Alligator mississippiensis: one gene and its partners. The protein of the gene in region 1 purifies or fractionates together with the protein of each later gene. This does not show direct contact. Links are inferred from orthologs where the notes say so. Each region holds a gene or a part of one and is shown in the gene's direction. Other genes may lie near its edges. The genes, in order: DAXX, RELA, CREBBP and RNPS1.

The links.
Region 2: the proteins of DAXX (region 1) and RELA purify together in Homo sapiens (affinity purification with western blotting; 4 studies listed by BioGRID and IntAct, with this or other methods). This does not show direct contact. The link is inferred for Alligator mississippiensis from reciprocal best matches to the Homo sapiens genes DAXX and RELA.
Region 3: the proteins of DAXX (region 1) and CREBBP purify together in Homo sapiens (affinity purification with western blotting; 3 studies listed by BioGRID and IntAct, with this or other methods). This does not show direct contact. The link is inferred for Alligator mississippiensis from reciprocal best matches to the Homo sapiens genes DAXX and CREBBP.
Region 4: the proteins of DAXX (region 1) and RNPS1 purify together in Homo sapiens (co-immunoprecipitation; 3 studies listed by BioGRID and IntAct, with this or other methods). This does not show direct contact. The link is inferred for Alligator mississippiensis from reciprocal best matches to the Homo sapiens genes DAXX and RNPS1.

What each region holds. Positions count from the first base shown.
Region 1 is NC_081834.1:64,839,793-64,847,043, reverse strand, and holds the start of DAXX (death domain-associated protein 6), read left to right. Parts: upstream 1-4,247; 5' UTR 4,248-4,276; coding exon 4,277-4,485; exon of another isoform or gene 4,486-4,609; intron 4,610-4,980; exon of another isoform or gene 4,981-5,070; intron 5,071-5,254; coding exon 5,255-5,573; intron 5,574-5,996; coding exon 5,997-6,855; intron 6,856-7,105; coding exon 7,106-7,251. UniProt on the Homo sapiens protein: Transcription corepressor known to repress transcriptional potential of several sumoylated transcription factors. Down-regulates basal and activated transcription.
Region 2 is NC_081838.1:4,258,695-4,265,749, forward strand, and holds the start of RELA (transcription factor p65), read left to right. Parts: upstream 1-4,051; 5' UTR 4,052-4,479; coding exon 4,480-4,486; intron 4,487-7,055. Other genes in the region: histone acetyltransferase KAT5, read right to left, coding at 3,571-3,637, 3,717-3,728. UniProt on the Homo sapiens protein: NF-kappa-B is a pleiotropic transcription factor present in almost all cell types and is the endpoint of a series of signal transduction events that are initiated by a vast array of stimuli related to many biological processes such as inflammation, immunity, differentiation, cell growth, tumorigenesis and apoptosis.
Region 3 is NC_081836.1:24,211,097-24,218,870, reverse strand, and holds the start of CREBBP (CREB-binding protein), read left to right. Parts: upstream 1-4,771; 5' UTR 4,772-4,990; coding exon 4,991-5,075; intron 5,076-7,774. UniProt on the Homo sapiens protein: Acetylates histones, giving a specific tag for transcriptional activation. Mediates acetylation of histone H3 at 'Lys-18' and 'Lys-27' (H3K18ac and H3K27ac, respectively).
Region 4 is NC_081836.1:29,023,567-29,030,559, forward strand, and holds the start of RNPS1 (RNA-binding protein with serine-rich domain 1), read left to right. Parts: upstream 1-3,989; 5' UTR 3,990-4,004; coding exon 4,005-4,102; intron 4,103-4,482; exon of another isoform or gene 4,483-4,562; intron 4,563-4,572; exon of another isoform or gene 4,573-4,802; intron 4,803-6,709; exon of another isoform or gene 6,710-6,830; coding exon of another isoform or gene 6,831-6,901; intron 6,902-6,993. UniProt on the Homo sapiens protein: Part of pre- and post-splicing multiprotein mRNP complexes. Auxiliary component of the splicing-dependent multiprotein exon junction complex (EJC) deposited at splice junction on mRNAs.

The sequences.
Region 1 (7,251 bases):
TTGATAATGTTCTGCCAAGCACAAAAGGCCTTGCGCTTGTGGTCGATCAACTCTTGGATCTCCTGGTTGTTCTCCTCAACCCAGTCTTGATGTTTCCTGCTAGTGAATCCACATGTCTCCATGCAGGTGCAGAAGCCAGTGGACTTGAAGGCATCTGAAGTGTTGCTGGCATTCTCCCACTGTTGTTGATTGGAATTGTCCTTGTTTTCACGTAGGCACTGGTGAAAGAGATTGTGCTTGATTGGGTCCTTACTGACCTGTCAGCATTGCCTCTGCTGCAGCTGTCATTTCGGAGCCAGTCTGAATGATATAACCAAGCAGATGTGTTGACGATCAGTCCAGCAACTGTCAGCTCCTAGCATAGTTCAGGTGATGCAGACATCTGTCACCCTAGGCATGAACAATGATGTGGGCAATCGGGTGCCAATGCTTAGATCACAGGTGTTGCCATATTTTGTGCCTATTTTTCTGGTGGAGCAGGACGTTGGTGATGGCAAGTCTGTGTTCTGCCCATCTGGTCAAAAGGGGTATGCCGTTGGAGTTGACTTTTCTCCACTCCTTTCTTGTTGATGCTTCTGGTCCAGAGGTTTGAGTCTCTTCCAACTCTGGCATTGAAATAGCTGAAAAGAATAAGTCTGTCTTCCTCTGGAATGCCAAAAAGGACTTGGTCGAGGTTGGCATAACATTCCTCCTTGGTTTTGTCAGCAGGGTCAAGAGTCAGGGCATAGGGGATGGATGACAGTGACATGTTGAATTCCTGCCGGTTTAAAACAGAGAGTCTTGGGGTGCTCATTCATTCTAACAGGGAAGTCATTGCATTGGTTGAGTTCATTCTTGATGGCAAAAACCAGCTCCATGAAGCCAGCATTCTCCTTCCTGTTTACCTTTCCAGTATAGCTGCCTCCTTGTTCTTTGAGCTGCCCATCTCCCATTCACCTGTTCTCACTTAGGACAGTGATGTCAATGCTGTGTCACCTGGGCTCTTGAGCCACAATTGTGGTGCAGCACTTTGGGCATTTGCTATTAACATTGTCTGTGAAGGTCCTGATGTTCCAGGTCCCAAAATTGATTGCGTATCTTTGTTGATTTTGACTGCAGCAAAGGGGATCCCACTGAATGCAGTTATGCAGTTAGGAAAGAGGTAACCAGAGCAACTTTTTCTAGGCCCCTTCCCAAGGGGGGCAAGCAGAGCAGATCCTGAAGAGGGCTGCTCAGTTACAGTGACAACCATCAGATTGCAGTCCTGGCTCCAAGTGCTACACAACCTTCTTGTAACTGCCATCATCATGCCAATTCATAACTAGGAGCTTCCAGATCTCACAGGCCTGCTCCCATCATCACTAGGTGCTGCCCACTGGAGGACTTAAAGAATATGCTGGAAAAACTGTTTCCATCGAAGATGCTTGTACATTATTTCTTTTATCATGGAGAAGCTGCTGTGCATCAGCTTGACAGAATGAGATCTTGATCCAATGGCAAGGAAACCAAGACAATTGGGGATCTTGGTCCACTGCAGCCTTCATCTGCCTTTGCAGCCATTGAGATTCGAACATCTTCTGCCTGCTGCACCACTGAGGACTTGTAGGCCCATGGCTGGGGGCTGGGCTGGTGTGCACAGGTGGCAGAGAGTGAAATGGTCTTCATGAAAGGTTAGCTGCACAATAAGCAGGGGTAACTGACAAATAAGCAGTCATGGATCAAGCGGTGGCAGCACAACCAGGACGTGATGGGGACAGCAGATAGCAATGGTTTCCCTCCTGAAAAGCCACATGTATCCTTTGACAATGTTGTGCCATGGCAAGTACAGGTTGCCATTATAATAAGCCTAAAATGTACCAAGTAACAGTAAAAATGACGACTGGACTAGAAACCACTTTAGAGAAGAAAGTGAAAACATGGACCTGTGAATTCATACCATCTGGGACAAGTCTTGTGGGTAGTAGTATCCATGCAAGGTCCAAGCGCTTTGAATATTGATGCTAGGAAAGTGTCTAAGAGGGTTGAATCAACAGATCCCAGCCTAGGTTTCGGATTTTGCCGTGAGACACCAAGACTGGGGGATAATGGAGCCAGACCTGTGGGCCCTGCTGGGTTGCAAATGCTCCACTCCAATGCCTTGAACAGGTAAAGAACAGGTGATGTATCCAGTGGCTCCCATCAGATGGGTGCTTCGTAGGTCAGTGCTAGGCTCAGAAAGAGGGTACTAACCAATTCTTATGCAACATGCTGGCTGGAAACGCATGACTGTATTGTGTGTTCAATGATTATGTGGCATGATGTGCTAACCCAGTGTGTAAAAGAGGGAGGCATCAGCAAGAATCTACCCTAAATGGAAGGCATCACATGTTCTAACAGGTTTTATTTGGGGAAAGATTGAATGCATTGTAAGCTGTTTAATCCACAAGATATTGGAGATGTCACTGTAGAAGGAGGTCAAAAGAGTAAGAGTGCAAAAGCTGGTGAAGGTTTAGACTGTGGATTTGTCAGGGATGGTTTGAACAGGGATGATCCTGCCTCAGGCAGGGGGCTGAATAAGACGTGACCTCTGGAGGTCTCTTCCAGCCCTCCTTCTGTTTGATTTCTCGATGACTACCCAGTGCAGTAGATGACCCATCAGAAGCCTCACTGTCAATGGACAGGGCTAGTTCTGGTCATAGGTAACAGGACCATCTCCATCTGCTGGACTAGGAACTTAGAGCAGTGATTCCCCACCAGGGTGCTGTGAGATCCTCTCAGGGGTGAGTCAAAGTGCCACACAACACTCGTGCTATTAGGTGGCGAATGTGATTGGCAAAGTAAACCCCGAGCTTTTTCATCAGGATTCATAGTGCTAAGAACAGTCTGGCCTGTTGCATCTTTCTTATGTCTTTGCACCAGAAAATTTGCTCTGTTATTTTCTACATTCAAAAAACCTGCAAATTAAGGGCTACCACTTTTTGAGGGCAGCCTGGAGTCTATTGAAGGAGCTTCAAGTCTGAGATGGTTGAGAGCCACCAACTTGGAGAAAATGAAGCAGCCATGACTCTAGCATTCAAAAGAAGCTCAATTTTAAATTTACCATGAAATGTAGCTTCGTCAGGGCCTAAACTCGGCATGCTGTTGCTTTGTTAAGTGATTGTAAAGCATGGAAAAGTAATTGGACCAGGGGTCACAAAATAATAGCACTGGATAGGACTTTTAAAACTCACAACAGGAAGTTGTCTTTCATGCCGCGTGCAATTGAAGGACAGAACTCCTTGTCACCGGATGTGGTGAAAGCTGCGAGTTCAGCCAGGTTTGCAAAGGGTTTGGACACATCCTTGGAGAAGAGGGGCATCAGTCACTATGGAGCACAAGAGCGAGGGGCACAGCTTCTGGGTCGGAGGTTTCCAGACCTGAAAAGCTGGAGGCTGCAGGTGGGAGAGGAACAGGGGGAAAACCAACCGCCCCCATCAGCACTCACTCCCCACCCTGAGACTGGGCAGGACGACCGGGTCTCACCCAGGGCGCGGCGATCGTGTTCTTATGAGTTGGGACTCAACTGCATGGCCGTGCCAAGGCAAGCGACTGGGGATCTGCACTGGGCCGGGCACCTTTCCCTGTGGTGTCTGCGGGCCAAGGCCTGCTCCAAGCTCACGCTTGCCGGTGGATGGGGGCTGAGGAAGTTGTGCAATGGGTCGGACGAGGGACCTGGCAGTATGTGCCTCGGCTTTGCCACCAGGCCCTGGCTTGGATCCTGAGCCTCTTTTCCACCCGGAGTCACAGGGAACGAGAAGGGGTGTCCAGCCAGCGCTCGCGGTCTTCCTGCACCAGGGCTCGCAGGCCGCTGCCACCATCACCGCGGGGGGTTGATGGACATCTTGGCGCACCGGCTGTGCTGCAAATGCCCGCTCCTTTGCAGTGACCCCGAGGCACGAGGGCCCGGCCCCGCTCCCTTGGGTTTCACGTGGCGGCTGCGGGGACACGTGGGGCAGTGGACAGCTCCATGCTGAAAGAGGCGGCACGGACTGCCCACCTCGGAGCTGCAGCTGCGGTGGATCTGTTCCCTGACAGCAAAGCCCCCCCAGCACCATTCAGATGCACCGTGTAACCGTAAAGCCCGACCCTGGGAGACAGCCTCTGGGCCGCTTCCCGCCGCTGCAGACCGTGCAGCTTGACAAAGCCCCGGGAGGGCCATAGAGCCACCTCTTGGCCGCACTGGGGTTTTCTGGCCTTCCGCAGCCGCCGTCTCCACCCACCTGACCGAAACTGCAAATGTCCTGGGCGCCGCCATTTTGTTGTACGGACTTGGAAGCGCATGCGCAGAACATTCGGGCCGCCAACGCAGCTGCCCGGAGGTGCGGGTGCGCACATGCGCGCTGAGTCGCTATCAATCCGATGCCATTTTAGCAGCCCGCGGCGGAGCGGCGCGTGGACGGCGCTATTAATGGCTTGTCTCGTGGAGGCCGCCATCTTCTGCGGAAGCGGAGCAGACGCAGAGCACGTACCCCCCGCCCTGCGGGAATGGTATCGGCCAGACCCCCGCAGTGGCGCGCGCCCCCTCCTACAACGGAGAGGAACGCCCGCCCCCTCCACCCCGCGCGGGAAGGTGGTTGGGTCCAAGTCATGCCCCGCCCGCGCCTCTTAAACGGTGGGCGGGGGAAGCTAGAGTGCGGCGTTCTGATTGGTCGGGTGGTGTCACGTGGGCAGTGAGGTCATGTGGCTAGCGACACCGGGAAGTACTCTCCTCGCGGGAAAATGGCGGCGCCCCGGGGGTCGGGGGGGCGGCCGGTTTGCACCTCCCGCTGTCGCGGGGCGGCGGCGGCGGCGGGAGGGAGGATGGGCGGGAGCCACCCGGGGGCCGCGGCCCGCGGGGGCGGGGTCGATGGGAGGCGTACCGCGCCGGGGCGCCCCCGCTCGCCGTGCAACAAGATGGCGGCGCCGCGGGCCCGGCCAGGACCCGGATGCGAACGCGGCCCCGGATTGGCCCGGCGCGGCCGTACGGCGGCATGGCGGCGCCCGCACCTGACACTGGGGCCCGCTTCCGGTCCTGCGCGCGGCCGCGGAGGGAACTCGGTGGCTCGGGCCCCGCGGAAGCGCCGGCGGCGGCGGGTGAGGGCGCGCGGGGGGCGGGCCCCGCCTGCCCCGGGCCCGGCCCCACCCCTCCTTCCCCGTCCCGTGGGCCCGTGCGGCTGCCCCGCCCCCGCCGGGCTCCGCGGGCCCGGGCCCCGCGGGGGCGGGGCTACGGGGAGATGGGTGGGGGCCCCTGGTGGTGCTAACGCCCCTCCGCCCGCAGGTCCATCCCCGCGGAGGTGCCCCCCGCCCACCTGGGATGCGCTGCGCCCCCCCGCTGTGAGCCTGCGCCCATGGCGGCCGCGCCCCACGGCAGCATCATTGTCCTGGACGACGACGACTACGAGGGGCATGAGGCGCCGCCCACCCCGCCCACCACCTCCCCCCTGCCCACCAGCTGCGCCCCCCAGGATGGCCCCTTGGCCCATGCCGTTTCCCCCCCGCCCCCCAGCCAGGCCTCCCTGGATGGTCCCACAATTGTCGCCACGGCCCCCCAGGACAGGGGCGCTTTCCAGGCTGAGAACGAGCAGTTGTTTGCCGACGTGAGTTCCCCTCGCATGCCAGCCCAGGCTCCTTGGTCCTCTCTATCCCCAGCCCAGGGTGGGTTGCAGTGCACACTGCCCAGCGCGCTGTGCTCAGTTCCCCAGGCTGCCCTGGGGGTGGAGGGGGGCTCCCCTGTGCCAGCACGGGGAGGTGGAGCGGGGCCCAGGCCCCAGCTGCTCACTGTCACCCCCTCTGGCTTCCCCCTGTGCCCCCAGGTTTTGGAGCGTGTCTGGCTGACCCCTGACCCCTTCCCCACCTGCCTGCTTTCCTTCCCCTAGTCCGTGGAGCACTGATACTTGCTCCCTGCCTATCTTTTCCCTTTCCCACCCCCACCCTGACCTGACCCCATTCAATTCCTGGAGCACCGTGCCTGGCTGACCCCAGCCCCACCTGCCTCTTTTCTGTGCGTCTGTCACCAACAGTTCCTAGCCTGCTGTTCCCAGCTGACGGAGGAGCACCCCGAGGTGGTCCCCTACCTGACGGGCCGGCACCAGAAGGCCAGTCCCGCATTCCTGGGCTCAGCTGAATTCCGCAATGTGCTGAGCCGCTGCCTGACACGCGTGCAGGCCCGGCACCACAAGGTGTATGTCTACATTAATGAAGTATGCACTGTGCTCAAGGCCAACACCCAGCGCCGTAAGCTGGCCATCAGTGCTGTCCCCGCTCCTTGCCCACCCCTTGCCACGAATCAGGAGCAGAACAACATTGAGGAGCATGAGACAGCGGACACTGAGGCGGGCAGGAGCGAGTTGGCAGCCATGGAGGCAGAGGTTGGGGCAGGGCGGCATGGGACAGGCTCCAAGCGGCAGATCCGGTACCTGGAGAACCTGCTGCACATCTACATGGGGGAGATCCGTCGGCTACAGGAGCGGGAGCTGGACCTGACGGAGATGGACAGCGAGGACTCAACCTACCTGCAGGAGAGCCGGCTCAAGCGCCGCATGATGCGAATCTTTGAGCGCCTGTGCGAGCTGAAGCAGTGCAGCAGCCTGACCGGGCGCGTCATCGAGCAGCGCATCCCCTACCGTGGCACCCGCTACCCAGAGGTCAACCGTCGCATCGAGCGCTTCATCAACCGTCCTGACATCTTCCCTGACTACTCTGACATCCTCAAGGTCATTCAGAAGGCCAGTGCCCGCCATGGCCTAGCCCTGAAGAAGCGTCAAATAGAGAGCATGGCCCAGGATGCCTTTCGGGATGTCGGCAACCGGCTCCAGGAGCGCCGCCACCTCGACCTCATCTACAACTTTGGCAGCCATCTCACCGACCATTACCGCCCTGGTGAGTGCAGGGTGTGTGGGGCTGGCATGGCCCAAGGGGCCTCTGTCTACTGCTGCTCCAGGGAGAGCTGTGCCTCTCTCCTGCTTACACAAGGTGGTAGACAGAGGACCCCGCTGATGAGCACTGAGCCTCTTCTTTACGTGCTGTGGGGTCTATTGGCTAATCTGGTTGCAGGGACGCTAGTGCCTTTCGAGCAGAAGGTTGGGCTGTGGATGCTTAGTTTATTTGTCCCTCTCCCTCGTGGTTGTAGGTACAGATCCTGCACTGACGGACCCAATGCTGGCCCGGCGTCTGCGGGAGAACCAGACCACAGCCCTGAATCGGCTGGAGAGCGTCATCTCGCACTATGCCCAGCTGCAGGATGAGAGCGAGGAGGAAGAAAGGATCCGTAGACGG
Region 2 (7,055 bases), on another chromosome or scaffold:
TTTCTGCGGGAGAGCAGGCTGCAGGCTGGCATTCCCCGCCTTTTCCTTCCTCCGCTCTCTCTCCTCTGCTTAGAAGGCAAGAAAATTTCCCTCAAAAGAGGCTGCCCCCGGTGGAGGTTGCGATGCCACTGGAGACCGTCAGCAGCCAGGTCCTCCCAGCTCTTGGTGCTGGCGCCCACTATCTGGAGGTTTGCCTTCAACATGATCTCGTAGCGTTTCCTCTGGCCACCGCGAGATCTCAAGCCATTACTGTTCCAGGAGTAGAGCACTCATTCTGGTAGTTGAGCATCGGGTGTCTGCGCAGTGCCCGGTCCAGCAAAGCTGGTGCTTGAGGATCACTGGCTCCATGCTGGGAACGCTGTGTGAGGATCTGGTCTTGAACTTTTGAAGGGGTGGTTCAGACTGGTGGGTCTCAACCTCATCAGACCCCTGGCTCCCCTCCGCACCCTCCTCCTCAGGCAAGGCTGAGTCTTTGCTTTCGCTCACCTCTTATGGAAAAATATCAGTGCAAATGTTGTGCTGCAAAGAACTCAGCAGGGCAGGAGGGACTGGATGCTCTGGGCTCCTCTTGGAGATCTCTGGGTTTCTCTGGTGAATTGTGTCAGCTGTTGGGCACAGACCAGTACTAATACTGTGCAGCTTCCTTGAAAGGGTCTTGCAGCACCCTGCTGCTGCTCGGGTGAGAATCACGGTGTTGGACAAACCAGGATGGTTCAGCCAGGGCTGGTGTTGCCTGGGGCAGGGGGCTGGGCTGGATGCAATCTTCTGAGCATCTGGCCCAGCCTGATTTCTTCTCTGCTCAAGATGGGACCAGGGAGAAACAGGTGCTTTCTCTGTTCTGGCAATTACATTTTTCCTGGACTGCACTGAGAGTCAGGAGATGGGTCAGAAACAGCTTTGGGGCACACAAATGGTCAGGTCAGAAGCATCCTCCAACCCCTCTTGCTTCTTGTGTGTTCCCTGGACTATTGTGGCAACAGGAAAAATGCTCTGTTTAGCCGTCACTGGGAAACAACCTTCCTCCCAGAGGAACTCGGGCTTATCCCAGTTCTGTAGGCCAAGCCAGCGGTCCTCTGGAGCCGTTGTTCTGTTCTTCCAACAGATCACACTGACTAAAGTTGGACAACAAAGCTGAATGCATCATAAGCTGTGCAGGAGCCAGTAGTGAGCTTTTGCTGCAGCCAAAGCCATTAGCCTCCCGGGTTGTATTAACAAGAAGGTTGCTTGCAACTCCAGTGATTCTTCCACTTTGTACAGCCTTGGGGAGGCATCACCGGAAGTCCTATGTCCAGTTTTGGGCCCCGCACTTCAAGAAGGTGGACAGATTGAAAGGAACCCAGCACAGAGCAACACAGATGAGGAGCAGCCTGGGAAGCGGGACTGATGAGGAAAGGCTGGAAATACTCAGGGGATCAAGGCTGCAGAAGAGAAGACTGAGGGGGGATTTGATCACAGGCTTCAAACCCCCAAATGATGATGAGAAAGAGGATGAAGATGGCTCTCTCTCTGTGGTCACAAGGAAGGGGACTAGCAGCAACTTCCTCAAGCTGCAGCAGTGGAAACTGGGGTAGGGGAGGAGGAAGAACCTTCTGATTCTAAGGGGAGTTGAGCATTGGACCAGGCTGCCCAGAGAGGTGGGGGAGTCTCCATCTCCAGAGATCACCAAGAGAATGTTGGATGCACTTGGCTGGATTAGGATTGTCCCCGACTAAACCAGCCGGAGCCGGGGGCTGGACCAGATAACTGGTGAGGCCCCTTCCAGCCTGACTTCCCTACAGTCGTATACTAAATAATGTGTGTGCAGTTGAGTTTATTATAAATGAAGGTACTTGGAGCCAGGACTCCTGGGTTTCGTCCCAGCTGAGAGTGGCATGGCATTCAGTAGCCTAAAGTAGGGGGCCTGGGAGCTAAAATACCAGGGTTCTAGCCCAGCTCTGGGACAGATGTAGAGTCTGGTGTGATGGAGCAGTTAGGAGCTGGGAGCCTGGCTACCTGCATTCAACTCTAGTTCTAGAAAAAGATGTGGGGTGAATGGGGGATTAGGGGCTAGGACTCCTGGGAGTGGAGTGGGGGTTTCCAGTGGGTTAGAGCTGGAAGCCCAGGATGCCTGGGTTCTAGTCCCAGCTGAAGGAAGGTGAAGACTGTTAGCAGGCAGGGTAGATACGCACCTTTATGGACTGACTAACTAAATACACACGCACGATATATAGAATGTACGTGTGAATCTATATGATGGGTGTGCTTATATATGTATATGTCAATGATTTGTGTATAACTATACATATGATACATTAAATCTGTGTGTGTATACCATATAAATATATACTTACACATGCATAGTAGATACAATATAGGTGTGTGTATATATATATATTTATATATAATATAAATACACGTGTACACATACACTATATAAATGATACATACACGTGCGTGTGTATATAATATATAATAATGATGATATATAATATATAATAATGATGATGAAGATGGTGATAATATGATGTGTGGGTGTATAATCACAAACTTTTTTGAATCCAAGTTCACTTCATCAGACGTTTAAGGGCTACTTGGCACAGCAGTACCCCTGGACCTGATAAGAGCACCGAGGACTCCTGGGTGCTCGTTCCAGCTCGGGGAGGGGACGAGTGGCCTGAAACCCAGTGCTGAGATGTGGTCGGCAGGCCAGCGTTCCTCAACCCGTGGGTCACGACGCAAGAGCGGGTTGCAAGAACAGATGACGGGTTGTACGTGAACAAACTTTAAAAATGGAAAAACGTGGGAAACCGGGGTTTTTCCCTCGCAGGCTGGCACATTTCCAGCCTGCCAGGGGCCGCTTGGGCCCCCCCCCACCCCACACTTCTCCCACCTCATACAAGGGGCAGGGGGGGCCAGTGGGTCGGGACCGGCCACTGATGTTTCCAAATGGGTCCTGGTACAAAAAAGGCTGAGAACCACCAGTCGCGGAGGCAGAGCTCCGTGGCTCCAGCCCCAGCTCTTCCTACTCAGCGACCGCAGGCGTGTTTCTTCCCCCCCGGCCCCTCTCCATCTGGAAGAGGCTGTTGGCAGGGACCCGCCCGCGGGTGTGGGAGCTGCACTGTTATCCTGCGCGCTCTGCTGCAGCTGGGCCCAGGATGAGGTGCTGGGAGACGAAACATGGCCCCCGGCTCCGCGGCCCCCGTGCCCTGCCAGGCTCCGGCCGCTCGCACGCAGGTCAGGCCAGTGCCAGGCTCGGGACAGCGGAGCCAACGTGGCGGCACGGGGACGAGGGACCCCTGGTCCCTGCCAGCGCTGGACCCCTCGGCCCCCGGCCCCGCGGGAGTGGGGGGGGGCCGTGGGAGCCCCAGGTTGCATGGGAGGGTGCTGTTGCTATGGTCACTGCCCCAACAACCCCCTGGACCCCCCATGTGTCCCCCTTGGCTCCGCCCCTCCTCTCTAGGCCCCGCCTCTCCCGGGACAGGTGCCCGTAGCTCCGCCCCCTCCTCTCTAAGCCCCGCCCCTCGCCCCAGGACGTCCCCCGACGTGCCCCTAGCCCCACCCCGTCCCCCCAGGCCCCACCCCGTCACTCACGCCACTCATCCTCGTTCTCCTGGTTGCGGCGCAACACTGGCAGGCGGCAGCCCTCGGACACCTCCCCCTGCAGGCGGGACAGGCCGTTAGCGGGGTCCTGCCCCCCCCCCCGGGATCCCGCCCCGCGCCCCCCGGCCCCCACTCACCACCTCCGCCATCTTGGGCCTCTCGCTGTGGGGGGAGGGGGAGAGCGGCGGGAGCCACCCGCCTCCACTTCCGGGAGCGGCCGGGCACCACTTCCGGGTTCCCCGTAGGCTACTTCCGGGACGCGGCAGGGTCACTTCCGGTCGCGCCGCGGAGGCCACATTTTCTCTGCTGGCGGGGAACGGAGGGGGATGGAACGCGATGACGCCAAGCTCATTTGCATAAAGAGGCGTGGAGGGAGGCAGGATGGAATGCTGCGGCTCTGTGGTCATTTGCATAAAAGGGGGCGTGGAGGGAGGGGGATGGAACGCGGCGACACCGCCCTCGTTTGCATGGAAGGGGGCGTGGAAGGAAGCGGGGGTCGGTCCCCGCGACGTCACTCAGCTAGATTTGCATGCCCGGGGGCGCGGCCTCGGAGGGGCGGGGCTTTCCCAGCAGCGCCCGGTCACATGGGGTGGGGCATTTCCGCGTGCGGCGACGACGCAGTCGGACCCGGGCCCCGATCCCACGGCGGGAGCGACCCCCTCCCCCACCCGGCCCGGCCCCGCCCCCCCCGGGGGGCCAGGACCCACCTCTCCTTGAGCCCCGCCCTCACCGAAGCCCCGCCCCTTCCAGCCCCCAGTTGGGGTTCGGACCCCCATACACTCAGCCCCGCCCCCTCGGCTTAAGCGCCGCCCCCAGCCTGGGGACCTCTCCCCTTAGTCCCTGCCCCCTCTAGGGCGGCGGGGCCCCGTGACACCCTGCCAGGACCCGCCCGCGGCCCCGATGGACGGTGAGTGCCCCCGGGGGTCGGGGTGGGGCTGCGCCGGGTGGGTGCAGGGCTGGGGGGCGACGGGATTCCCAGGAGCTCTCGGGGTGACCCCCCCCATCCAGCAGATCCCGCCCTGGGGCCAGGCTTGCTGGGTTGCGGCTGAGTCTGGGGTGATGCGGATGCGGCGGGGCCCTTGGGAGCCAGGAAGGGGCCGGGGTGGGGGGAGAGGAATTGTCTGCCAGGAAGGGCCGGAGCCGGCCGGGGCTCCCTCCAGCTCTGGGGGGGCCGGGGCTGAGAGCAGGGCAGGGAGCCTAGAGCCGGAGGCCTGGAGTCCCCCGCGCGCGCGGGAAGCGGAGCGGGCTCGGTTCTGCCCGACCGTCTCTTCCGGCCTGGAGACGTGCGTTGTGCCACCAGCCGCTCTTGTGCTGGTGGCTGGAGAGGGGCGTGTGCGTGTGTCACGGGGAGGGGACGCGGGAGAGCCCAGGCGTCGGGGCCCCCAAGCCCCGCTCCCCGCCCAGGCGTCCCGGCCCAGCTGGGACCCTGGGGTCGATTTGGCCCCGGGCAGTCGGAGCCTTGCTCCCAGGCTGAGGTCATGCGCTGCTCCCAGGCTGTGTGTGTACGGAAGTGTGCATGCCTACGACATAGGGCTGTACGTGTGTATGCATTCAGGGCAGGTACACTCCTGGGTGTGCACATTATAGGGACACGTGTGTATGTGTCCATATGAGATATGGACGTATGTACGCTGTGGGGCAGGTGTACATACGATATAGAGACGTGTATACAGGATAGGGACGTGTGTGCGCGCGCACAATAGGAACGTGTGCGGGTGCGTACAATATAAAGACACACGTGCATACGATATAGGGACGTGTATACATGTGTGTATGCATAGTATAGGATCCCGCGTGTGTATGGTTACATGCGATACAGGGGGACACGTGGGTATGTACGATAAAATGATATGTATGCATGTCTGTGATATAAGGACCAGTGTTCCTATATTGTGCGCACACACACCCCCCCCATACGGGTCCCTATATCATATCTACCCATACATGTTCCTATATCATGCGTACACACACACACATGTTTGCGCACAGGTAGATGTAAAACAGGCATGTGTGGGTATGTGCAGTATAGGGGCACGCATGTGTATGTACGATATTGTAGATAATGTGCATGATGCAGGGACATGTGTGCAGGACGTTGCGTGTCAGCGTGTGCACGCATGCTCATGTGATACGATGAACCCAGAGTCCTGGGTCCAGTTTTGGGCCCCGCACTTCAAGAAGGAGGGGAGTGGATTGGAGAGAGGCCAGCGCAGAGCAACGCAGGACGGGCGGAGGGGGAGAGATCTGCGGGGATTGAGTCTGGGGAAGAGCAGACAAAGGCGGGGATAGCACGGGATGGGCTCTGGCAGCTGCTGCAGGGGAAACAGAGGCAGGAGACAAGGAGGACCCTTCTGGCTCTGAGGGGATCTGGCATTGGAGCAGGCTGGCCAGAGAGGCGGGGGGGGATCCATCCCTGGAGATCTCCAGGAGCTGGCTGGAGACCCGGGGCCCGGCTGGTTAGAGACGTTGTTCGCCGCGTGAGCCTGAAGTTGGGTAGGCGGCAGGGAGTCGGCCCCTGATAAACTCACTGGGACAGGGAGAAGTAGAGACTGAGACCTAGACCTAAATCTGGGTATCAGGTATAGACAGGTATAAAGCTAGATAAATATAGGTGTAGATAGAGAGATGCAGGTACAGACCAGTGTAAAGATACCTAAATATGGATGGATATAAAGAGAGAGAAATAAAAGTAGGTGTAGATAGCTAGATATAGGTATAGAGAAATATAATGATAGCTAAAAAGAGATAAATATAGCTAGATACAGGTATACCTGGATATAAAGATAGATAAGTAGCGATAGAGATATATCTATCTATACCTGTACTGATCTAGATAAATAGGAACGGGTATAGATATGTAGATATAGACATAGAAAGATAGCTATATAGAAATAGCTGTATAGAGAAAGATCCAGGTGTAGACAGATATAAAGCTAGCTATATCAAGATAGCTACAGGTAGGTAGGTACAGGTATAGACGGATATACAGATAGATATAGGTATGGATATGAAGAAAAACAGAGATAGGTATAGGCAGATGTGGACAGATACAAGTGTAGACAAAAAAATAGAGGTCAGTATATTTTGATACAGGTATTGACATATATAGAGGTAGCTATAGAGAGGTAGGTATAGGTACAGGTATTTGCAGATGTAAAGATAGATGGATGTGCATGTAGGTAGATGAAGGTGAGCACAGGTGTAAAGACAAATAGAGATAGAAAACTGCGGGTGAGTATGAAGGTGGATAACGAGAGCTGCAGGTAGATGGAGGAACAGACGGGGAGAAGAGTAAATAGAGAGAGATGTAAAAATAGATGTAGATGGATATAAAGATGGAGAAGTATCTCTTTTGGGGGGGGGGTGTCTGTACACACTGTGGTGAGTCTCTAAAGGTGCATCTCTGCCCTGACTTGAGGCTGAGTTGAGACTAACATGGCAACTGCCTGTCTACTCACGTATGTCATAGCGGGGTG
Region 3 (7,774 bases), on another chromosome or scaffold:
GGTGGGGCATGGCGGTGTTGGTGGCAGTGAGAGCATGGTGGCAGTGGTAAGTGGGGAGCTCCCGCAGATGCTGCCGGCACTGTCGGCAGCGGGGGGACGGGTGGTGAGCGGCGAGCACCCACAGACACCACTGGAAGTGACAGCGGTGGCCAGCAGTGGTCGCTGACTGCCTGGAGACACCACTGGTGGCAGGGGGTGGCAAGCTGCAACCACCTACAGGCACCACCGACAGTGTCAGTGGCACTTTTTTTGACAGGGTTCACTGCCATGCTCAGGGAGTGCATGTGCACCTCCTATGCATCACCAATGGTACCCTGCCCCCCACAGGGCAGAGCCCCCCTCAACACATGGACTACCCTACCTTTAGGGTCCCAGGCCTCTCCAGGGGTGACAGCTTCCCCCCCCCCCCTCGCTGGGCTCAAGCCCCCTGCTCATTCCCCTGCTCTTCTCCAGCCTCTAGAGACTGGAGATAAGCAAGAGAACAAGCAGGAGATTGGAGAGAATAGGAGAATGAACAGGAGGCTCATTCCCATCCACCCCTGTTGGTTCCCTCAGCTCCCCATTTGTTCCCCTGCTCCCCATTCATTCCCCGCATCCACGGTTCATTCCCCCTGGCCCCTGTTCATTCCCCCTGCTCTGCATTTATTCCCCTGCTCCTCACTCATTCCCCTTGCCCCGTTCATTCCCCCCATCCTGTTCATTCCCCCCACCCTCTGTTCATTCCCCCAGCTCCCCACTTGCTCTCCCAGCCCCCCCTCCCCCCCCGCCCCACTCACCAGCAGTAGCAGAGAATGAGCAGGAGGCTGGAGAGAGCACGGGAAGTCTCCAGCTTATCTCCAGGGGCTTGTCTCCAGCCTCCTGCTCGTCTCCAGCCCCCTGCTCCTTCCGCTGCTTGTCTCCAGCCTTGGGAGGGAGCAGGAGGCTGAGACTGCCCCTGGAGACATTCCCCTGATGCCTCCAGCCCCCTGCCCCCCTGAGGCTGGAGAAAAGCAGGGGAAGGAGCAGGGGGCTGGAGACAGCCACAGAAACATTCCCGTTGTCTCCAGCCTCGGGAGAGCAGGGGACAGCAGGGGAATGCCTCCAGGGCTGTCTCCAGTCCCCTGCTTGTTCCCCTGCCATCTCCAGCCTCCTGAGGTCCCCCCCCTCTCCAGCCCCCAACCCCCTGCTTACCTGGCAAAAGCTGGGTCTGGGTCCCTGCAGCTTGCACCACTGCCTGCCCAGCACAGGTAGGCAGCATGCTTCAGGAGCAGAGAAAGGGCCAATCATAGAGATGCTCTGGTACTCTGCCAGAGCGTCTCGGGAGGACTAAGCCTCCAGTTGCCTGAGGGCATGGTCCCAGACCCAGTTTTTTCCCCCGGGTTTTTGTTTGACCCCTGGATATCCAGGGGTCTCATTTTCTTGCAGCACACGGAACATTTTTTCACTCCTTCAGTGCCCCTTGCCCTGCCTCAAAGGGGTTTGAGATGGGGCAAGAGGCACATGTGCACTCGTCTGGACGCACCCAACTTGTTTGCTGGGATGAGTTTGGCTGGTGCTGTAGTGAAGTTTCATAGTTGTCATAGGCAGGAAAGACTGCTGGGCTCAGGTGACCCCAGCAAGGTGTGTGTCAAGATGCTTTTTGAAGTTCACCAGGGTTGGTGACTGTACCACCTCATGGGGGAACCTGTTCCAAACCCTCGGCACTCGACTGAAGTAGTAAGTAGTCTTCCTGGAGCTATACCCAAAGGATGTGTGAGTTACTATGACCCCACTGGTGGATCCTGTAAATCCTTATCTGAATTAGAAGTTTTGTCCTCGTCTTCTGAATCAGCAGATGTTGAGTCAGTACTGGAAAACAAATATTGCAAAAAAACCCTGACGACTGATTAAATTATTAGAGTGAACACCTTGTATTCAAGACAACTAACCACTGATGGTTAAATGGGAAAGTTTTGGGTAAAGAATTAGGCCATCATTCAATATTCACTGCTTGAACATTTTGAAAATGGCGTAAGTTGTAAGGAAGTTGAGAGCACTGTGATCCATTGTTGCTTGTGACAGACAATATGACCTGATTTCTCTCCCAGAGGCTGAATCCTCCCACACTTCTGACATAAAATGTATGTTCCCTCTTCCCAACTGGTACAAATATATGACAGTGAAATTGATACATTAAAAGAGTGTATGCAATTCATAATTTCCTCAATGTTAGATGTCCTTAATTACTGACAATTGAAGAGCAATGAATATACTGTTACCATTATGCTGCCTCCAGTTAAAATAATGGACATATGAAAATGTTTCTGGTCCCAGACTTTGGGCATTCTAGTAGTTACTGAGATCCTTGGAATTGGAGTTGTCTATTGTGAATCTTACAGGACATGATTGATTTTCTTGAGATTTGAAAGACGGAATTCAGAGCCATAACAGTGCAGCTTGGCACCAGGGGCAGTTTTAGCACACACGATAGTGCTGGACGCCATGCTGCTGGTGGTAGAGGTGCAGCCAACCACTAGCCATGTAGCTAGTTATTTCTGAATCTCTGCCCCTCTCAAAAAAAGCAGAGCCCACACCTCTGGCCCCAGGTGCCCCTGCTCCCCCCCAGGCATTTATGCTACTGATATAATTTAACAAAAAATAGTAATTATTCACTGGAATATGCATTAGTAAGGAATTATATAGCAATAGGAATAATATAGGTATTGGAACCATTAATTTAAAGGGAACTATTAAGTCGTGCTATGGCTGGCAGCCATATTAAGTAATCCCTTTAATAACTAAAGAAATTCATAAAAGTAACAAATATAATGTAGCAACTGATAAAACAGATTTTTTTTTAAATGGAAATAGATTATTACAGCTTTAAGACGCATAAAATCTAATATATCCAACTAAAGCAATGTATTAACTCATCTGTACAATCAAGAGATCTTATGTTTGTTGCCCCCATCCACCTTGTTTTCTACCACCTCCACTTTTTTTGCCTTAAAATTATATTACAAGTAGTTTGACAGAAACAGTGTTTCTGTGTGCACTTCTGCCACCATGCAGAGGCAGTGTGATGGCTCTCTGCATAGAGGCAGCAAGAATGTGTACAGGTAAATGTTTGCTGGGGAAAGTTTGGCTGGTGCTGTAGTGAAGTTTCATTGTTGTCATAGGCAGGAAAGACTGCTGGGGTCTCCCTTAGACCCTTAAGTACGCCCTGATACTGCCTGAAGGTGGGCAAGTGCTGAGCAGCTGGATGGGCAAAAACATGGGGATCTTGCATGACAGGTGTGCTGACGGGTGTTGGGGTTCTGAAAGTGTGAGAGACATTTCCAATGGCAATGTGTGGCAGGTACACGAACATATCACAGGGTCATTCAGGATTATGGAGTATCGGCATATGGAATATGGGGGAGCATGGAGGAAAGATGAGCTGGAGGTGTGGGAAGTTCTGAACCCTCTAGAGAGGCAAACTGGACGGGAACACTGTGGGGAAGCAAAAGGTGAGAAGTGTGGGTGGGCACTGTAGGATAGGAAGTAGGTATGGAGGAAGGTGCTAGGAGGTTTGGACCTATAGATAGACAGTAGAGCAGTTGCTCAATCCGTGTTACGCAGAGGCGGATGCCGGAGTGGATGATGGTGGGCATCACAGGAAGGTGGAGAGGGAGGTGTAGGCAGAGGGTATTACCGGGGGAAGGCAACAGGGTGAGCACTCTGCCTCGGGCAGCGTGTTGGAGGGGAGCAGATGTGTGACCGGTGAAGACCAACCTGTGTTCAAAGTGATCTAAGATTACAAAATTGTCCGTGTAAGTTAGTAAAATCTGCCGGGTGCTGCCACGGGCGAGGAGGCACCACCTGGAGGCAGAACGGGGGTGAGCGCTGAGGCGAGGTGGGGAGAAGGCAGCAGGGCAGGGAGGACAGGCGCTTACTGGCCGACTGGCGGGGACATGAGGTGCTCCAGGGGCAGCGGGCGGTGGGGACCACGGCGTGGCGGTGCCCGGGGGCAGAGTGCCCACAGCACGGCGGCCGTGCGAGGGGCGCAGGACCCAGGCAGGAGCCTCGGGGGCGCTGTGGCTACAGCGGCGCGCACCGGGCACCCCATATTTGCATGTCTATTTGCATACGCTTCCCCCTCCCCCGCCCACTCCGGCCGCGCTCGGCTGTTTCCGCGGCCGCTCGTGTCTTTCCGGCGATGGCGGGGGAGGGGGCGTTCCCCTGCGCGGTGACGCAGCGCGCAGGCCCCGCCCCGCCCCCGCCCCCATGGTCTCTGGAAAAGAGAAGAGAAAAAAAAACTTTTTTTTTTAATTGAGGAATCAACAGCCGCCATCTTGTCGCGGAGCCGAGCGCGGCGCGAGCGGGAGCAGGGCCGGGCCGGGCCGGGCCGGGCCAGCGAGGCGGCCCTCCGGGGCACGGGCAGCCGCACGGAGCGCCGCGGAGGCCAGGCGGGCTCGGCCAGCGGGGCAGCACCGGCCGGGGCGGGGAGCCGGGCGCCGCCGCCGGGACCGGGAGCCGCGGCCGCCGCGCTGCGCTCATTGTTTTTCTTGCCGGCGGCGGCGGCTGCTCGTGGGTGGGCGGGCGTCGGGGCGGCCGAGCGCGGAGCGGAGCCTGGGCCGCGGCCGGGGTCGGGGCCGGGGCGAGCCCGCGCGGAGGGGAGGGGACGGGCCGGGCCGGGCCGGGTCGGGCGCGGGGGGGGCGCTGTGCTCCCGGAGTGACTGACTGAGCCGCCATCCGGGCACCTCCTCGCCGCGCGAGGGCGGGGGAGCGGCCGGGAGGAGCGAGGCGGGGGGGGGAAGGGGGGGCGCTGGGCTCTCGCCACCCCGCCCCGAGCCCGAGCCCTCCTCCCTGCGGCCTGCTGCGGCGGCGGCCCGGCCCGGGCATGGGGGAGCGGGGGCCGCCGCCGGCCCGGCACTGAGCGGCGCTGTTGTTCGGCTGCTGGCGGCGCCCGACTCGGAGCGCAAGAGCTGGCGGCCCCGGCCGGCGGGCGGAGCGCGGCGGGGCTGGGGCTGTGACTGTCGAGCCGGCTGCCATGGCGGAGAACTTGCTGGACGGGCCGCCCAACGCCAAGCGACCCAAGCTCAACTCGCCGGGCTTCCCCCCCACCGACAGCACAGGTGAGCGACCGCGGAGCCGGCACCTGCGCACCGGCCTCGCAGGCGGCTCCGGGGCCGCGGGACCGGGCTGAGGCCGGACAGGACCGTCCCCCTTGGGGCTCGCCGCTGAACAAAAGCCCCCGCTTCTCTGGCAGTCGCCAGGCCCGCCCCGCCCCGCGGCTCTAAGCTAGGGGATGAGTCCGGGAGGAGCCTGACAGCCCCAGACCTGGCTGGAGAGGTGCCCCCCCCCTCCCCCCCGAGCCTGGCTGCCCCGTCCCTGCAAGCTGAGCCGGCCCTCACGGAGGCCAGACTTGCCGGACCCCCATCCCCTTCTAGCGGAGCTCACTGGCGGCTGGCTCGCCTGTCCTCCAGCTGTGGCCGCTGCTCCAGGACCGGTGACGGGTTCCCCAGAGCTTGGCAGGACCTAATGGAAGTGAAAGGGATCATTCCTCCCTGCCTTTGCTTGCTTATGCCCTCAGATAAAGGTAAACTAGAGGTGCAGTTGATCAGAACTTGAGGATTTCTGTAGGGAGCTTTGGAGCCATGTCACTGCCATGGTCCAGGGATTTCTGTACTTGCTCTTGGAAGACTTAGTGGTGTCTCAGCTTGACTTGCATTTAGACAGAATTATTTGTGCCTATTCTGTGCATTTTACTACTTTGTCAAGACCACATAGTTAGCCAGGGAGCAGGAATAATATCTCCTGAGCAGTCATTATGTGGTGTAAATGTGCCTTCATCCATTGGGAAGTGCGTTTGAGAACCAGAAAGATTTCATTCACAGTAACTACTTCTGAAAGTTTTTGGCTTTGACTATATAAGTTCTTTACATTCTGGGGAAAGGAAAAAAAATGTCAAATTTCCCTGTTTAAAATTACTATTTGCTTGTTTGGTGTAAAGAATTTATGTTTTCCTATACTTACCTTTGTAACTGTTATGACCTGGTTCTTAACTGAAAAGTTGGGTCTTACAAATAGTCACCTTAGTCTGCTTTTGAGCATTTTCCTATAGAAATTTGCAGGTGTCTTATGCATGCCAGTTGTATGATGTCTTGTGTATTGAAAATGCTCACTAGTCTCAAAATACGTACACTTCAACATAGTTGAACAACATAGTTGTAGTTTTTGCAGTAATTATTTATCACAGTAGAAAATATCTTTGAAAATCATGTTAGGAAAAGGGGAATACTTTTCTATTTTGAACAGATTATTTTACAGTTTATTTTTGTAAACTTTTATGTGCATGTGTATAGTTTGAAATTTAGGGTAGTATCTGAAAAAGCAGTAACAGACCAAGAAGGCATGTTTGACACCCACAAGTCTATGAAGGCATGTGAATGTTTAGTGAAAGGGACTTTAATTAAGCCTGATGCTTTTTACACTGAAAAATTATGCTGTAAATGAAAGATTAGGTGTACTGCTATTTCAGCTTATTTACTATCTGTATTTGACTATGTAGTAGATACTTTTGCCATTCTTCTTTCATATAATGTGTAGCAAAGGGAGGAAATGCTTGAAAGATTATAAATGATTCTAGCTTTTTCTGCAAATAACTGGATATCATGTTGAAGAAGAGTGACATATAGTGAATTTCTATATTCACAAGAGTGAATATAGAAATTATAAAATGAACTGTGGAACCAAAGAAAAAAGGAAATCGTTTATCCTAATTTCTCATATAGTTGTTATAGCGTGTAATCCTGGCTGGTAAAATAACAACTTGAAACACTGACTTCTGAAGTTAATAGTTTCTCTTTAGAATTGGGACACACTAAGTTATGTCCCAATTCTGCAAACACTTAAGCCTGTGAGTAGCCTCAGAGAACTCCTTGACAGCAGTGGTGTGAAATGTTTGTAGAGTTGAGGGCCTTGGTCCCTCAACAGTGATGATGTCCGAAAAGTCGTTTTTCTCACATGTACCTTTATAGTGTCTGGTCAGCATCTAAAAATATTCATAGCGTAATACTTCTGAAAAGTTTGAATAGCATTGGTTTTATTGTATCCTTGGTATATTGAAAGGTTTTTATTCCATCTATCTTTGAGTTATCTTTTTAATACTATTTGAAAGGTGAATGAATGTTTCCACATGAGATAACAGGTTGTTAAAAAAAAAAAAAAAAAAAAAAAAGGTGTTCATTATAATGTTTTACTCAAATTCTGACCCTAAAATGAGCTCTTGCCTGTTGTTTTAGTAATAGAACCTTGTGTTGCAACCTGGAAAGTTGCCTTTGATCACAGTTGTTTGGACAAATAGGTTTGAGCCATGTGCTCTTAAAAGCAATAGGCTGTGTAATGTGTAACACTCAATTGTATTTAGTGGCATACTTTAGCTGTTTGCTGCGTCCTTTTGTGAGAGATTAAAATTGATTCAGGTGTAAGTAATGTAAAGCTCAATTGTGCCGTTCTGTTACTAAAGATTAAGTTTGCATTCCTGCAAGTGCTTATATACCTGCTTAATTTTAGTGTTCTGAATGGTCTTAACTGCACAGGTGGACCTGAATGTTTAATGTGCATGCTGTTGTTTAATTTTTTTCTGTTCCTAGTTCATATGATGGTCTGTGTAGCAGTTGGATGGAAGGGCCCCCCTTTTTAGAGTAAATATTTAAGTATCTTAATTTTTATGGTAGAAGTAGTTGATTAATGTTAAAAGCAGTGAAATACAGTTACTCCATCTACATTACAGTGATTATAATAAGAACTGCTTGAGGCAAATAGTCTAGCA
Region 4 (6,993 bases), on another chromosome or scaffold:
TAGCCAGTGAGATAACCATGTAAACCAGAGCTGACCGTGAAAAGCCCATCCCTCAGAAGTGTCTGTGCAAGTAGGTTGTGTTACCAAGTTCTCATTTTCTTCACAGGCAGTGGAGAACTGGGAGCAGCATGATCACAAGGGAGAAATTAGTTCCTGCCAGAAAATTTGGTTGGGTGAAGGCAGCACTATTATGTGAACCATGATGACTTATCCTCCATAGGGGAGGAGCAGAACAAGCACTTCCACTTCTTTGGACATCAGTTGCTGGTACATCAAAGGAAGGATAGACTCAAGCAAGGCTGGACAGACTTATAGATAAGGTGGAACACCTGGAAGCAAGATATTTAGGCTCTATAGCACAACCAAGCATTATCTCGATGTAGCCTTTGGCAAGGCATTTAATCTCCATGATACAAATGGGGAATACAAAGCCCAGAGAGACTACCTCAGAGATAGGTTTGGCTAAGCAAACATGTTCATAAAGCACAGAGATCCTTAAATGGAAGGAGACCTAAAAATAAAAGTTGGATTAAATATTTTTTTAATTATTATGACCTTAAAAAGTTTGTAAACCAGTATAAAAGCACACACAGGAGGTTTGCTTAGTAAGAAACTGCAATTTTCCAAATTAGATCGCTTAACACTACAAGTGAGGAAGACAGTAACATTTTTTCCAGAAGAGTTTCTTTGAGTTCTGAGGACTTATCAGCTAGCAAGTCCAGAGATGTGACAAATTCATCGTGCCTACTTGAACAGTGCACGACCAAAAAGTACATGAGGGAGAATTGCTCCCTGTTACTGACCTGGCTTAAAAATGCTACTGTAACTCTAAGTCTCCAATTTCCCCAGAAACACTTTTCTGCTTGGGGGACTTCAAGATTAAGAACTGCACACACCTCTTTAACTTATTGGGGGTCTTGAACTTGTTAGAAGAAAAGACAAGGAAGTCATCGCACACAGTCATGTAACCCTTATTCTTTGTAGCAAGATCAAGGTGTTTAAGGAAGTTCAATACTCAGCAAACATTTATACAGTCAGGGCACACTTTCAAAATGTCATTGAAGAAAAACAAAAACAAAGGCACATACATCATTGCACATTTTCAGGGCCAGATCACAAACAGACTGCTGCATACACATCTTCACCCATGTATGGCATTAGAAACTGTGGATATGAACTAGCAGCAAGATTGTCACAAAAAAGCAAATATAAAAACTACAGTGGACACAAAGGGCACAAAGCAAGCTCAGAGTCTATAGTTAGATACACTAGAACTTCTAGGTGTTCCCCAGTGTCAGCCAAGTGGATGTTGTCCGTGTTATTTTCAGAAGATGCAATATTTAAGAACAGGCAAGGAAAAATCCCTTTTCTGTAGCTTCAAAGCTAGGTAACCCAACAAATGCAGCTACTGCATTTCTGTCCCCTGCAGCAACAGCTTTTGATCTCAGGATTTCCTATGCAATTCAAGTGAAAGGTTTACAACTTTCAGAGCACAGAAATGAAATCCTCATGGCTGTGTGACTTGTTTACTATCAAAGTGACACACACCCTACAGAGCCAAACACCCATATAGCCTCCCTCAGTCATGTGCAGAGAGTCACGCAAGCCTCATTTTAAACATAAAAAACAGGGTCCAAAGATCAAAGCTGAGGCACTGTCTGAGGAGTTGGCACTACTATGTAACCCTCTGCAGGGCTGGTATGGTGCTACACTGTCTTGCCATGCAAAACTATGGTGCTAGTATCTTCCCCCACTTCATAATAATTAAAGAGACAATAAAAATGTAGTGCTTTAGCCAGCTGCAAAATTAGACCACCAGCTAACAAGTCACTTGCTTACTATACAACCAGGACACCCTTTTCTATAAACACCTGTGTGTAACTAATTAAAATAGATGTAGCACTGAGTCACTAAAGGGTTTAATCCACATGACAATAATATTTACCCGTAAGTGATATTTTACAAACATGGACTAATTAATCCCCAACAGCCCCACCACCTCTACACACACACCTGCAAAGGCAGCAGTATTATTATGTCTGTGTACAAATGGGGAACCAGAAATGAAGAAACTAGCACAGGGCCCGAGGCAGAATCAGAAATCAGCACCTCTTAAAGTCCATCCCTTCCTCATTCATTCAGAAGTGGGTCACACACCCCTATTTAAATTGCTATGTTGCTGCATACCCCTAGGATTCCATGGCATGTGTAATAAAACACGTCTTATGCCCCAGCAACCACACTACAAGCTCCCCAGGAGCCTCATGTGCCCTCCAGAAATTCACTGCACACCCAGCGTGAGAAATATCAGTTTAGGCAATGCTGCTGTCTCCAACTACTCACCCCAAGCAAGACGCTGACTTGCTGTGTGAATTCAGGCACATGACAACAGTCTCTCAGAATTCCTGCTGGATACTTATACACACAGGACACTTGGTAGCCGGGACCCCATTTATAGCAGCCAAGCTATGCCCCAAGGGACGTGCAAGTGTGCTAAAAGCAGAGTGCAGTGCTAAGGAATCCAGCAGCATAACATAAACTGACACTCCGCAAGGCAGCAAGCCCTCCTGCACAGACTCCCCCTGCACTTCCTCTCTATCCTTTTACTACATTCCCAACAACCAAACCAACTTAAAGCCAAGGAGTAAACATGCATACAAACCCCTGAAGTGTCTACATGCAGCAAACCAGGAGAGATCACCACAATCCTTTTGGAGGAAGGCATTAAACCAGTGCTAGTGCTGGTGCTGCTGCTCTCTCCAGCCAGGCTTTGACAGCACAGACCTGGGAGCAGACCAGTTCTTCAGCATACTCTGCTGTCCTCCCAGCACTACCAAACTTTGTGGAAAGCTCCTGTTTGAAAAGCTCCTGCCCTCTTTGTTTGGTTGGGGGAGAGCCAGCAAGGGCTGCTGGGAAGGTCAGGAGTGAGGTTTATGCATTCAAAGGGGAGGGGCCCTGCCTTAACTCTTTCAAGGACAGCTCTGCCTCAGGGTTGGGAAGGAGCTGCCTTCTCCCCCACCAGGCGCTGCCGGGCTGCATGGACCGGGCTCTGTCATGATGGGGCCAGCGCGCGTGTCCCCGGGGGACGTGCAGGCAACCAGGCAAGCAGCAGCCTTCCCTCGGCCAGACTAGCTCCTCTCTGCACCCGCCGCGCGGCTTGCTGCCGGGGTTGAGGGCGAGGACGGACGCATCTTTTACTAGCTCCCGGTTCCCGTTGTCTGTGGACGGGGCAGTGGGCAGGTGCACAGTGCTCTGACTGGTGGATCAGAGGTACATGCCGGGGCTGTCACACTTGAGGTTGCTAGACTGGGTAGAAAACAAGGGCTGCAGAGCGGACTTAAGAGCACTGTCAAGTAGGCGATTTCTGCCACGCAGCTCGTTGCGGCAGTGGCACCATTTCTTCTCTCTCACCCAGGCTCCCAGCACCAGGGCTCCTTCCCTACCCGCGTCCCGGGCTCTCCGGGTACCGGCTGCTCCCTGCAGCTCTCCGCCGACTCCAGCCGCCGGCTCGATCCTGCTCTTGCTACCCGCTCTGCCCAGCCTGTTCGTCGGCCGTGCTGGTGAGTCTTCCGGGGCCCGATCAGCTCGCGTGCGCCGGCCGAGCCGCAAGGAAGAGGGGAAGCGGCACAGGTGAGTGCGGGAGGCCGCGTGGCAGGCAGCCCCCCTCGGTCTCCGGCGGAAAGCTCCAGGCCGGGTCAGCGCGGGCTCCGCACCAGACAGGCCCCGGCCCCGGCCGCACCAGAGCTCAGCCCCGCCACTTATTGCAGAAACTCCTGGCCGGGGGGATCCACCAGGCTTTGAAACGTCGGCTGAGGTGAATGATGCGGCACCTTGCACCGGCCGCGGGGGTGGGGGCGGCCGAGGGCTAGACAGGCTCGGACCGAAGAGAGGACGTTTGCAGAGGGGGACGGGAGGAGGCTTGCGCTGCCCTGCGCGGCCAGCCGAGAGCCGGAGGCTGCCTGGGCTCAGGCGGCCCGCTCTGTCCCTTTAAATCCCCCCCACTGATGACGCCATCAGCCTGCGCCTCTCGGGTCCTTCCCGCCCGGGGCGCGTCTGTGGAGCGCGACGGGGTTGGGGAGCAGCAGCGGCGGGCGCCGAGGATGTGAGTCGGGAGGGGGGCGCGGGCATCCGGCTGCATCTGGCCGGGGGGAGGCGCCGGGGGCCCCGCGACCGCCGGAGGGCCCCAGGGGGAGGGGCGCGGAGCCTCCCGAGAGAACATGGCGGGCGGGCGGACGGGACGAGGATGGAGCCTGGCGCCGAGGCCTACCGCGCCCTGCGGGGACAGCCCGAGCGGGGCCGAGCGCGCTCCCCGCCCCCTTCCTGGCTCGGGCTGCTCTGTGCGCGGGGGGAACTGACGGCCCGGGGAGGCAGCGGGCACCTGCTGAGTGAGCCGGAGAGTAGGGGCACGTCGGTGGCGGCCGCCTCTCTTGGCCCCTGAGTCGACTCTGTTCTCGGTCTGCTTTTTCTCTCCCTGTTCCTCAGCCTGCGTCTCGGCTCCGTTCCTAGCGTGGCGGCTCGCGTGGCACGACCAGCAGCGACGCCGCCACGATGCACCGGGCACGGTAACGTGCCGCAGCTTCGCCCCGGCACCCGCAAACTGCGCGGGGCTCCCCGCTTCATCCTTCTGCAGCCCGCGGGCCCCGCTGCACGAACACATTCTTCTCAGCCTGGAAGTGCTAGCCTCCTGTAGCCAGTGGGAGCTGAAGCACACCGCAGTGACATGCCCTGCCCAGGCTCGTGCAGGAAGTCTGTAGCGGAGTAGGGTTTACTTTGTCCATCCCGGAAATGTCACTGTTGTAACGGTGCGTCCTGTCACTACACCACTGCATAGAACAGGAGAGCGAAGAAGAATCATGTAACACCCGAATGCTTGCTCCACATGCCTTGTGCTCCTCCTCTTCATTTGAGAGATTCCTAAATTTGTAGGCAAAGCAATGTTCTTGGTAACTGGAAGGAAGCGTATTGCTTGCATATGCCATCCCCATGTATGTATGCCCATGTTTAGACACATGGCTTATTTCTAGCGAGTGACTGAACATGGGTGATAGCTGGGCAAGCGCGCATGTAGCCTTGTCTTTGTTCTCCGAGACCTCAGTTTCTGTTTCATCAGGCTGTAGATGTTTGCAGTCCGTTGGCTGATAGCAAATGAACAGGGCAGGTTGCATGGTACTGAGAGAAGGCGCGCACATTTTTATGGAGGGAAAAGGAGACGGAAGCTTTGGTGGCAGTGAATGCTTGCACCACTTGAAAATGTTCTTAATTTTAATACTAAAAGGACACAGCAGGGTTAATTTGCATATCAGGCAAAATTGTTCCTATGCAGGCAGTGTTTCACTGTTAATTTCAGCACCTGCACTATTAAGTCCAGTGAGTAGAATGATGGCAAAGATGAAGGTTGTTTTGAGCATGACATTTCCCCCACTTCAATAAGGGTGAAACTGGAAAGTGATTTTAGACTGGATTAGGAGTGCAATGCATAGCAGTTTAGTTGTTTTGTTCCAAAAGTGTGTTTGAGCCTCAGTGGTAATTCATGTCTGCAGGCTGCCCCCTGTCAAGCTACCTGAAAATACCTAGCCACACCTGGCTTGGGAAGTCAAAGGAAAGACCAGACACAGTACTAACCACATCACTTCCTTGTGTGTTGGCTAAAGAAACTTCATTTAATGTTACTGGTATTACATACTCTCTGTAGGATCACAGTGCAAAGGTGGTTTAAAAAGATGTGAATAAAGTCTAGACTTGTAGTCTTCTGAATGTTTTATTTGTCTAGGTTCCTGCTTGTGCTTCAGTTGCATTTGTGGTGATCACAGAATTTGCTCCCCAGAAAGCTTCGGGTATTTATGTGGAGAGAAGTGATCACAAATCAAACAGCAGCAGCCTACCAGCAGATTGCAAGCTGCAGGCACTTCTTATCGAAAACATTAAACAGTTCACCAGTACAGTTACAATGTGAAGATGTATTGGGACTGCATGTTGTATGTGGCATATTAGGACCTCTCTTGGATTACACCTGGGGTTCAGCTTGTGGCTAGTAATTAAATAGCTATTTAATATTGGGGTGTTCATTTGGATCAAGAGTACAGGGGGGGGCAGGTACATCAGGTCTGAGCCCAGGTAGGCTTCCCCCTTAGAGGGATTCAAACAAAGTCTGTTGAAGTCACAACAATGTATGCAACTTTGGTTCCATAGCTCAGGTGCTTGTTCCAAGCTGACTTAGCTATGGAAGCAGTTTGCTTAGACAGAGAAGGGGGACTTCAAGGCTTTTGAGTAATGCCCCTTTCCTTACCAACATATGCTGTGGCACCAATTGGCTCTGGTAAAAGAAGCCCTTAATCCTCTGAGACAGAATAGTTGTGACAAGGCAAGTTACCTGTATATTTGGGGTGCAAAAAAATAATCCATTAAAAGCTATGCTTGACCCATCTGCCACCTATCTTGAATGGCTAGTTTGTACCCTTTGTACTCGTATGACATTTCAGATAGTGTTCTGAAACCTGTTCGAATTCTTCAGCAGACAAAAACATGCAACTATGCGCAGGCCCTTAGGCTGCCTGTAACAGTCATGGAGCAGTGCGTCTGATCACAGTGCCCTGTGTAAACTATTTCAGTAGCTGATCCCCAATGTGTGCTGCCTGTATTGCAAAGTAGGTTTGTTTTTTGTGCCAATAAATTAATTTCTTCTTTTTAAATCCTTTTATCTTGTCACTAGGCTGCTCTTTGGAATTTATTGCACTCGATTAGGGACCGTTTCTCAGAATCAAGGAGTTAGAAGTGAGATTTGAGATAAGTGAGATCCATTCGGTGCTGCTTTCCACGCCTCCGAAGGGGAAATGGAGTTATCAGGAATGAAAAAGAAGAGTTTGCTAGGATTCAAAGAGAATAATAAAAAATCCAGCACTAGGTAATGATTCTGTCCCAATTTTCTAGGCCTGAAACAATTGTATAGTGTACTAGGACTCTCCCAATGAGGGTGAGGAATTGGAAACATCTCTC